Linked DNA regions of Xenopus tropicalis. The protein of the gene in region 1 interacts with the protein of each later gene in a biochemical or structural test. Links are inferred from orthologs where the notes say so. Each region holds a gene or a part of one and is shown in the gene's direction. Other genes may lie near its edges. The genes, in order: cdc34, cul2 and cul1.

Region 1 (3,756 bases):
TAACTTCTACTTATGCTACTGTTTACAACACCGTACATGGAGTAGGAAGCAACTAGTCTTTAACTAGTAGTAGTGAAGTGGCATTTTACAAAGTGTAGCACCGGCCTGATGGAAAGTGTTGGGGGCACCCAATAAATTGCCACCCACTGAATCTAAGTTTCCCTGTCCTTTAAAGTGCACCTATGACCCTTTAACTGCTTCTCCCACCAGAGGTGCAGGCTAATAGACGCAGCACTTTGGTTGAGGGAAAACGATAGTTTGGTTTTTAAAAAATACAGCAACTGCCATTTCTAGGCTGCCCGCACCTGAATGAAGCTCCCAGTACAGGCAACCATGTTGTTTGCCATGCGTGGGCATAATAAATGCGCCTTTCCACTTGCAGATGATGCGCATGCGCCTGATCTAGGCGTGGTGGATGCAATTCACCCTCCATCACAAGCATGCACATAATAAGCAACTTGTGGCACTCACTCATTATGCACATTGTGAGAAATGAGGCAATATGGCTGCCCACACCTGGAGCACTCTTCTGCTGCAGGCAGCCTAGCAATGGTAGGAGCTTTTTTTTTTTTCACAAAAAGCTATTGTTTCCCTAACCTCTGATGAGGGAAACAATTTGAGGGTGATAGGTGCCCTTTAAGGTGAGCTGTATTAGAAGGTTATATTCTAGGAGATTAAAGGATATATTCACTGTTCATTCAGAAACTTTGTGTCAAGTTGAAGTTTTCTACTGCACTACTAAATAAAAGCTCTGTAAATCACGTTTCCCCACTAGAAACCAACATCTAGCTTTGTTCCCATCAGCCTCAGCAAGACCCCTCCTTCCTCCGCTCAGATTACACTTCCCTCGCACCAGTGCGTCACAGTGTTCGTGGGCTTGTGGGATTTGTAGGCTGCTCCTCCCACAACGCCGTGGCTTCACTTGCAGTTTCCGGCACCCGTTACTCTTCCAGCCAGCAAGTTAATTCGCAAAGCGGCTCCGTTGTGCCGTAACATGTCGTAATAAAGCCTTTAGTCGTCTAGCAGCCCCTTCTTGCTAAAACACCAAAAGCCTACTGATCCCATCCTGCCCTACGCGGAGGACGCTGTGGGCTCCTGGTTAGAAAGCGGGGAGCGGAACTACCATGGCCCGGCCGGTGGCGCCGGTGCCCAGCTCTCAGAAGGCCTTGATGCTGGAACTCAAGGGGCTACAGGAAGAGCCGGTGGAGGGGTTCCGGGTCACCCTGGTAGATGAGGGGGATCTGTACAACTGGGAGGTGGCAATCTTTGGCCCCCCAAACACCCTCTATGAGGGGGGGTACTTCAAGGTGAGGGTTAGGTGTGTGTGAAATGGTGGAGTTCGTGATCATAGGGGCCTTGGGGAGGGAAAGCCACGCTGGGGGGTATTTAAAGAGGCAGTAAGTAATAGAGGCGTGGGTGGGTATTGCGTACATCGCTGGGCCTTTCTGCACAACAAGCTTTCCTTTGTTTATGTGACTCCTACAGCCATAGCCGTAACTTGCCCGAAACTAATGTTTCACATGAAACTCAACCAGCCCTCAAAGCTACCCCAAAACTAAAACTTACTGAAAGAGTGTGGCACTACTAAATCTTTAATCCTGTTTTCTGCGAGTTGTAGTCCAACAACAGCTGCTAGGCCCCAGCCACAGGATGCACGGTGTTAGAAAGCAATAAAGGCCTTTGTGTAACAGGAAAACGCTCTAAACTCTTCATCTAACTTCTGATTTGGCACTTTGTGTTTGTGGAGATACCCTGGGTTTATATGTATTCATCCTGTGCCTATTTCATAAAGATTTTCAGAAGATTAATCAAACATAGGCGTTCCACTCTTTTACATTTTAGTATGCCATACTAGCTACATGTATGAAGCCTCATTCTTTTAAGGATTAAAGGGGTCTCTATACTTAGTTTTGGGCAGTTTTGTTAAGATGTGCCTTCTATAGTGTGTGTGTATATATATATATATATATATATATATATATATATATATATATATATAATATTAGTTTCAAGGGACTACTTATTCCTAGACATTTGCACAGATCAAGAAATTTAATAGGGGTTTATAATGAGATGTTAAATGGCTAGAACAATGTAATTGTGTTTTACAGGGGTGGTTCACCTTTAAGTTAACTTTTAGTATCTTATATAAAGACCTATTCTAATCAACTTTTCGAATATTCTTCATTATTTGTTTTTCATAGTTTCTTAATTTATTTGCCTCCTTGTCCTAACTCTTTGCAGCTTTCAAATGGGGTCACTGACCCCTGAGCCAAAAAAAAATCATACTAAAAAGTTAAGTCAAAGGTGCACAACCCCTTTAAAGGGGTTGTCCACCTTTTACTTAATTTTTAGTATGATGTAGAGCGTAATATTCTGAAACAATTTGCAACTGGTTTTCATTTTTTATTTGTAGTTTTTTTTAATTATTTCAGTTTTTGGTTGTCTCCAGCTTGGAGTTTCAGCAGCTATTTGGTTGCTTGGATCCAAATTACCTAAGCCACCATGGTGTGATTTGAATAAAAGACTGATATATAAATACGAGAGGGCCTGAATAGAAACATAAGTAATGTACAATAACAGTTAAACTATAGCTTCGCAGAACAATAGTTCTTTGGCTTGGGGGTCAGTGACCCCCCTTTGAAAGCTGCAAAGAGTAAATAATTCAAAAACTATGAAAAACATAATGACTAATTGAAAAGTTGCTTAGAATTGGCCTTTCTATAACATACTAAAAGTTAACTCAAAGGTGAACCACCACTTTCAATATATGTATAATATACATATTATTAGGGATACACTGAATCCAGGATTTGTTTCGGCGTTTGGCCAAGATTCTGCCTTTTTCAACAGGATTCGGATTCAGACGAATCCATGTGCCTGGTTGAACCAAATCTGAATCCTTAAAATCACTATTTCTTTATGTAAACCCAGAAGTTGAACATTTTTATTCCTTTTATAGGTTAGTTTTCAAATGCAAATTAGAGTTTGGTTCGGTATTAGGCCAAATCTTTTACAAAGGTTTGAATCATAAAACTCTGGAATTGGTGCATCTCATTATCCAGCCTCCCTGGAACTGAAAACAGACCTTATTTTTTATTTACTTATCATTAATCTGATGACAGCTGAGCTTGCTTACCCATCATGCAGTTCTATAAGTATGAGATCTATTATTCTGAAAGCTTTTGGACATAATTCAAATCTTTTATTGGGGCCTCTTGCATGATAGCCACATTCAGAGTGCCAATGCACCCTCATTCAATAGGATTTTCAAACTTGCCGTATTGAAAATTGATCAGCTATTGGTCAGACGGGCCCTATACACGAGCCAATAAGCTGTTAATTTGGCCTGGAGGCACTGACCTAGCAGCTTTTATTGGCCCGTTTATGGCCTGCTGAAGCATTTAAAAATAAAAACCAAGATGATCTTTTAGCCAGAAACATGGATTTATGTTAGCTTAGTTATCATAAAGCACAAGATACTGTTTTATTGTTACTACAGAAAGAGAGCAAACAAGTAAAAAATTAATAAATTACACTTTTTTTTTTAATAGACTGAAATTTGGTTGATCTACTCTTAGATATGTTGCTTGAGAACCATTATTTTGTGCTAATCGGAGCTACGGTGTGTTATAACAAAGGCATGGATCTCAACCATACTCACTTGCTTGTTAACCATTACATGTTCTTTTTGTCCTAGGCCCGCTTAAAATTTCCAGTTGATTACCCCTACTCTCCTCCTGCGTTTCGTTTTTT
Region 2 (3,656 bases), on another chromosome or scaffold:
TAGTTAAGATTTTGCTTGTGTTTTAAGGCAGCTTACATGATAGGATTTTGTACAAACAGATGACCGATTAAGGACAAATTATAAAATAATATAATTATTGTTAAACAGATGGGGAATTGGCAATTGTAGTTTTAAGATTGGTCTGACAATACATATAGGATCTTTTAAACAATACCACAATGATACCACACAGTGCTTTTATTGTGGGCGGATGAATCATGCAGTGGTTGTGCATGTGACTGGGTGAAAGTGAAGCTTTGGTATTGCCTGTGTAACTGTGTGGCTGTATGTGTGTAAGTGGAACTATATCTGGTGCCTCCACAATGATGCAATGTTGCTTGTGCTTGTATAAGTGAATGATATTTTCTGTGTGCCTAATGGGGCAGCTACATTTTGCTCTTGCCTGTGTAGATGTGTGCAATTGTGGCCATAAAGACGCTGCTTACACCGCCTATTGAAAACATTCTTGCGTTATCAACATACTGTGCTTTATTACAGTTTTATCAAGAAATATTTGAGTTGCCTTTTCTGGCTGAAACAGGGGAGTATTATAAACAAGAAGCTTCAAATTTATTACAAGAGTCAAACTGCTCACAATATATGGAAAAGGTAAAGAAAAGTAACAGCCTATGTATTTTTATTGTGGATTTATTAAAATGTATATTATGCTTTCTGTACAATTTATAGGAATTAGTAAGGTTTACCTTACAACTCTGGAACAAAACCATAACAGTAATGGGAGTTAAAACCAATGTAATATTTGGTCAGAGTATTCTTTTGCTCAGAAAACCATAGCAGCCAACCAGATGTTTATTATTATTCAAGCCACAGTATGAATGTAAAAGTTAATTGCTGTTTTGTTGTTATAATTTAATGGAGTGGGGCAAAATTAAAAAAATAATATACTGTTTACATGCACTGGCAAAAGTTGTATGCTTGTCTTAGAAGCACTACTATAGCTTATAATATAATAAAGCTGTGTAGCCATGTGGGCATCCATTCAAGTTGAAATAGGGCTAAATGGCCCTTTTATATTTTGCTGTTACAGGTATAGGACCTGTTATCCAGAATGCTCAGAACTTGGGATATCTTTATATGATTTGGACCTCTATATTTTAAGTCTGCTAAAAATTAGTTTAAACATTAAATAAATTCAATAGGATTGTTTTGCCCCCAATAAAGATTAATTATATCTTAGTTGGGATCAAGTACAGAGAAAAAGGAATTCAGTTTTAAAATTTTGAATTATTTAATTAAGATGGAATCTATAGGAGATGGCTTTTTCCGTAATTTGTACTAATTTGTAATGCATCCCATACCTGTACTGGTCCTTTAAGTACATTGGGCAGCCTTTTTTTTTGTGTGTAAAGGGGAAATTATGGAATATTTAAACTTCTATTAAGTGGAGTGGGAAAACTATAGGGGTTGGTCTTGATCCCAGGGGCAGCAAGTACAAGAGCGATATCAGTTTACAGGTGTCATTGTCCCATTATAACAGCTTTTTCTAAGGAGACTCAGATTAAGTTGCAGAACCCAAACATGAATTTTAAAGCAATCACGTACCTTGTTTTTAATACGTTTTTAAAGATTTCTTGCACATTATTATTTATTATTTACGTGCAGATTTTAGGTAGATTAAAAGATGAAGAGATTCGATGTCGAAAGTATTTACACCCCAGTTCATATAATAAAGTGATTCATGAATGCCAGCAGAGAATGGTGGCAGACCACTTGCAGTTTCTACACGCAGAATGTCACAATATCATCAGACAAGAAAGGAGAAGCGGTAAGCACTGAGCAGTTATTTTTTCTTTTGTTTTAGGTGAAACCATTTTCAGTTTCTCAGCCTTTTAGCCATCATCATAATATATGCTTTGGTTGAGAACTGTATTATCAAAGTGGCTTATTATGATGTTGCTAAGCTTAGGTCAGAAATGGAAAGTCTTTTATTCAGCAGGGGTAGTGTTGATAAGCTAATACTTCTCTTTTAAAGAACAGTAACTCCAAAAAAATTGTGTTTTAAAGTGATTATAATTAACTTTTGCCTTGCACTGGTATTTTTGCTTTAGAAACACTAATATAGTTTTTTTTATAAATAATCTCTGTAGCAATGAGGGAGGCTATTCAAAGGAAACAAAAGGCTCAGATTACATAGCAGATAAGTTCTGTAGAATATAATGGTGTTCTACAGGGCTCATCTTTTATCCGCTATTTAAATCTGTGCCATTTAACGCTATTTAATTTTTAGGTCCCTGTATCAAACAGCTGGGGTGCCCTAGTCCTAACGGGAAATTTTAAAATTTCCTGTAATTCTTTCAAACTTACCTTATTGTATTTACTTTACTCCTTGTGTCCTGCAGCCTCCTTGAATGGCAAGATATATTGTGCTCTATATTGAATGTTGAAAAGTGGGCTTTAATTTAAGGGGATTATAAATATTTTAGTATTTTAGTGTAACAATGCCACAGAGTAAAATTAGTTTAAAAAACTGTTTAAATGTTAACTCGTGATTGTTACAGTTATCACTTTGTGTCACATTATTTTCTGTGGCATTGCAGATATGGCCAACATGTACACTCTTCTCCGTGCTGTATCCAATGGTTTACCTCATATGATTCAGGAACTCCAAAACCATATCCACGATGAAGGCCTTAGAGCTATTAGTAATCTTTCTCAGGAAAACGTGAGTAACCATGAAGCCCTTGATAGCCGCATAAATACTAAATGAGCAGTAGGGATAAAATATGAAGGAGCAGAGCCACGGGCTATAGCCTGCACCAATTGTTTGCTGCTACTTGTACAGGCAGGCATAACGCCCTGTGTGCCATAGACCATAGATGCAGAGCTCCCTGAAAGAGGGAAAAGGAAGGAAACGAGGAAATTACTTCCCTGCCTGACATCTTTAAATCTGCCACACTCATCATTGGATCAGACAGTTGAAAGATATGAACATGTGGCCAAATTCCCCAAATTATCATTTTAAAAACTAATGCGAAACAAAGAGTTAATCTGGCCATATTATACCATAGTCCAAATAAAAAAAAAAGGGTTTGGATTTTAAAGGAATATATCTGTTTATGTACTTTATCTTTAAGTAGCAATAAGAATGAAAATGCCCAAGTACACAAAAGGCCAGCACCACAGAGTGCCACATGCTTCCTGACAAAGAAACTTAAAGAAAATGGCTAATTCATACCGATGAAACATGAAATGAAATGAATTATGGGGAAGTTTTATTTAATCTTTTACATGCCAGCTGGGTTTTATTTATTACATGGTATATTATTAAGACTATTTCCCATTAGAATGTGATTGCTCCAAACTGTGCACAATGAATGTTCCCTCTTTTTCAAATGGCCTTGGGTCAGTATGTCACTAAGTACAGGGAACACTAGCCAGTGCTAATCTCAGATCATTTGTAGTTGCCATTCATGAATTTTTGTATTTTTATAATTCATTTAAATGTTTTAAGTTTTTTTTTTCTTGTAGTTCTCTTTGTGTTTTTTTATAAATGTTCCCTTTTTATCTTTCAGATGCCAACTCAATTTGTGGAGTCAGTCTTAGAAGTTCACAGTAAATTTGTTCAGCTTGTCAACTCTGTATTGAATGGTGATCAGCACTTTATGAGTGCACTAGACAAGGTACAGTAATCAATA
Region 3 (3,656 bases), on another chromosome or scaffold:
GACTTCCCCAGTTGTCCTGCATTGACCGACTGAGAAAAGGAGATTTGGTTTTTTTTACCCTGAAACATCTTTTCTTGTAGGCCGTACTGTCAGTGCACCATTCCTCCCTTTTTGGGGTGCTAGTTATTGCTGCTCGTCACATTGATAGTTCGGTTCTTCTGTCTCCCCCAGCAGGCTTTGCGGGGTAAGAGGGGGAGACACGAAGAAGAAAGGGTTTCAAGAAAGACTTATCAAGGCCCCAAACCCTTTAACTCGGCACAAATATGGTGGACTTCCCAAATACCAACACTCACCCAAGATGATTGGGAGGAGGCAACAGACTCCATGTGTAACTGTCTCATCTCTACTAGAGACAGATTGATACAGTATAAAACCTTTCATCACCTGTATATCACACCATTAAGGTTGCACCAGATGGGCCGTACCCCAACAGATAAGTGCCCGAGATGTGCAGCCAGCCCTGCTAACTTTTTCATATGATCTGGGCATGTCCCCATATCGCTACGTTCTGGTCAGCAGTCACTAAATACTTATCGAATAACTTAGCCTTCCCTACTGTGACTGCTCCCGAAACTTACTAGCTTACTAGGAGTCCTAGACAGTATAATTGCTCAAAATAACTCCCGGATATGCTACAGAATTCTCCTGTTCTATGCAAAAAAAACAGTCGCAATGGATCGGATGGGCTCTACCCTGCCGACCGTTACAGCCTGGAAGAATCTAGTGAATGCGGTAGCCCCTCTGTATAAACTCACATACGAGACGAGAGACGCACCTGATAAATTTGACAAAATTTGGGGCCCTTGGTGTGACCTAGAGGGAAATTGATCGATCCCGCTCCTAGCTGCATAGTAAGTCCCCCAACGCCTTCCCACCTTTTTCTGCCATACCCTGAACATCTAACTCGGTAACGTGACGGACCCAATATGTTGGAACTGTTGCCAGACTCGCATTCACACTCTGTAATGTTAAACCTATCCCGTTGATGTTTGTAACAAATGTTAGAGATAGACCTGGAAAAGAAAGTCCAATACGTTTTCCTCATTGCACTATAAAATGTGTTATTTTATGTTTGTATGAAAATTAATAAAATGCACCTTTCAAAAAAAAAAAAAAAAAGACATCAGTTTGTCCTGCCTCCAGAGAGAAATAACTTAACCCAATGTCTTGCACTGCCAGGTAGGGCCTACGAGAAAAAGATTTTTCAGGTTAGAAAATCTCTTTATTTCACCCACAAATTGATTTTAGCTTTATATAGATTTATAGTGGACTGATATATTTGTAATTAATTGGTGCATTTAATGCTTAATTAAATGTGCCATTCTAGTATGATTGTGCCACCTATTGGTTGCAAACTGTAACTTGTAACTTATTTTACTCTTTATTAAGTGGGGTTTTCTAAGTGTTTTGCACCATCTGTTGGTTGAAAAGTGCAATAGGAGTTCCAATAGGCTACATTATATGGGAATAGTACAACCCAAATTTTACAGTTTTCAGTGGACCAAAAAATTCATGTAAAAGCCTGTAAAAATAGGTTAACACCTTAAGCAACTTTAAAGGTTTAGAAGAGCATTTCCAAGACCTGTAAATCGGATGCATAGCCTGACCCAAGAAGTCCTGTGTGGGCTGTCATAGGAGGTGCAAACTAATTGATGGTTTGTAAGGGCCAATTAGGACTTGTGTGAGTGAACTGGCACTTTGGAGGTAGGACCATTATCCTTGTAGTAGGATTCTTCCTTTCCCATGAGCACGATTCGAAACGGAGAACAAAAGCCTTTGGCTTTATAGTTTATTAATACAGTTAATCACTATAGGTGGGTGCTCTTATGAATGTGACAGTTCAACCCACTTATCATATGCAGAACACAAATAAAATGTTTTAATTCTCTTCCTTTACAGTTGGAACGCAGCTATCAAAGGTTTACAGCTTTTTATGCCAGCCGCCACAGTGGAAGGAAGTTGACTTGGTTATACCAGTTGTCTAAAGGAGAACTGGTCACAAACTGCTTTAAAAATAGATACACGTTGCAGGTATGTTGCAAGCAAAGAAGTGTATTGCTTAAATACCTAAAACAAATTGTGCACATCACATGTTGACTGTGAAGTAGAGGTTTGCAGTGCAGAACTGAGAGACAGCATGGTAACATTGCAGTTGGAACTAATGGAAAATTACTAATGATTTGGTACTGTTTAGTACTGCCTTGCTTTTGATGTATGATGTATACTGTGGTCTTTTTTCCCGATTCCTTTTTCAGGCATCCACATTCCAGATGGCAATCCTGCTGCAGTATAACACAGAAGATGCCTACACAGTGCAGCAACTGACAGATAGCACACAGATAAAAATGGTAACCGTATACAGTTTAAGGCCTCTATCTTATAAAAATTATGCTTGTTTGTTAAAAGCCATTATAGATTGTCACAGAGATAACTGTAATAATAACTATTTTGGCAGCTAGGGTTAGGCCTATGTGGGACAATTTTGATGGCTACTAGTAGTGCTGATCAGAACACACTTCTCCTTTCCCACTTACCAGTCTTGGAGCTCTGGGTGTAGATGACTTCATTTCTAGCATTGTCAGACTCTTGTCAGATTAAAGGTTAATGTCACATTTTTAGCAGAGGCACTGGAACTGCCTGTCCCGCCTGTCATTGTAATGACAACCTTTTATCTCCAGAATTCATATTGGACTAAGATGAGCCGTAATCCTAAACACCTAATGTACTTGCTAGAAGAATGGAAGCTCTTGGTTCACAAAGTCTAATTAGACTACAAATGTTTTCATGTGTTTCCTAATTCTAAATTAATCTTATCACACTGCTGCATTTCCTTTATTCCTTTTTGCAGGATATACTTGTGCAAGTTCTTCAAATTTTGCTGAAGTCTAAGTTATTGGTAAGTTTCACAGTTTCTGGTGTTCGCCTAAAACAGCAATAGGCTGAATACAGTTCTGTAGCTCAGAAGAAATTTTGGAATCGGGTCCCTTTAAAAGATTTTAAAAAAAATTGTGTTCATAGCGATCATTATCACATAGTTAAAGATCCCTGGGACTGTAAGCTTTCAGGCGTTAAAATATACTTTTAGGCTAATGTCACATGGTGTTTTGTCAACAGACTAAAAAAATGCCAATCTACTCTAACCCACCCCATGGCCATTAAGCAGTGACAGGAATCATGGGATTGGCATTTTGACAGCACCTTGCATGGTATAAGCCTTACTGGTGTTGAGGGCTTCCCCTTCTAATGCAAGTCATCCCTAGGTAATGATGGTTGCCACATAATAGCCAATGTAAGCATGGTCAGGGTTATTTATGTTTACATTTTGGGTGTCATTATTATACATTGCCCTCTGAAAGACAAGAAGAATCTCGTGAATTACACGACGTTGACATAAACATATGCTTAAGATGTTACTTACAGCTTAACTCATATGTTACTATACATTGCCTGTGTTAAGTGCATCTGCTGTATTTCTTCATTAGATCAGAGTAATCATAATAATTAGCAATTACTTGGAAATTACCTCACAGAGAAATAAAGTAGTAAGTGGTACTTGCCTTGAAAGCCAATGTATGGTAAGAGTGAAGTTGAATAGGTGTATGTACACGATAGGTCTGTACACTTTCCCTTTTGGCCAATCAAACCTGCAGGAGGAA

Evidence for each region.
Region 2: the proteins of cdc34 (region 1) and cul2 form a complex in vitro, tested with the Homo sapiens proteins (2 studies listed by BioGRID). The link is inferred for Xenopus tropicalis from reciprocal best matches to the Homo sapiens genes CDC34 and CUL2.
Region 3: the proteins of cdc34 (region 1) and cul1 form a complex in vitro, tested with the Homo sapiens proteins (3 studies listed by BioGRID). The link is inferred for Xenopus tropicalis from reciprocal best matches to the Homo sapiens genes CDC34 and CUL1.

What each region holds. Positions count from the first base shown.
Region 1 is NC_030677.2:105,629,886-105,633,641, forward strand, and holds the start of cdc34 (ubiquitin-conjugating enzyme E2 R1), read left to right. Parts: upstream 1-967; 5' UTR 968-1,124; coding exon 1,125-1,307; intron 1,308-3,700; coding exon 3,701-3,756. UniProt on the Homo sapiens protein: E2 ubiquitin-conjugating enzyme that accepts ubiquitin from an E1 ubiquitin-activating protein, and catalyzes its covalent attachment to other proteins by an E3 ubiquitin-protein ligase complex. In vitro catalyzes 'Lys-48'-linked polyubiquitination.
Region 2 is NC_030682.2:21,665,060-21,668,715, forward strand, and holds part of cul2 (cullin-2), read left to right. Parts: intron 1-498; coding exon 499-609; intron 610-1,623; coding exon 1,624-1,786; intron 1,787-2,558; coding exon 2,559-2,683; intron 2,684-3,533; coding exon 3,534-3,641; intron 3,642-3,656.
Region 3 is NC_030682.2:55,181,763-55,185,418, reverse strand, and holds part of cul1 (cullin-1), read left to right. Parts: intron 1-1,899; coding exon 1,900-2,031; intron 2,032-2,255; coding exon 2,256-2,348; intron 2,349-2,848; coding exon 2,849-2,896; intron 2,897-3,656. UniProt on the Homo sapiens protein: Core component of multiple cullin-RING-based SCF (SKP1-CUL1-F-box protein) E3 ubiquitin-protein ligase complexes, which mediate the ubiquitination of proteins involved in cell cycle progression, signal transduction and transcription.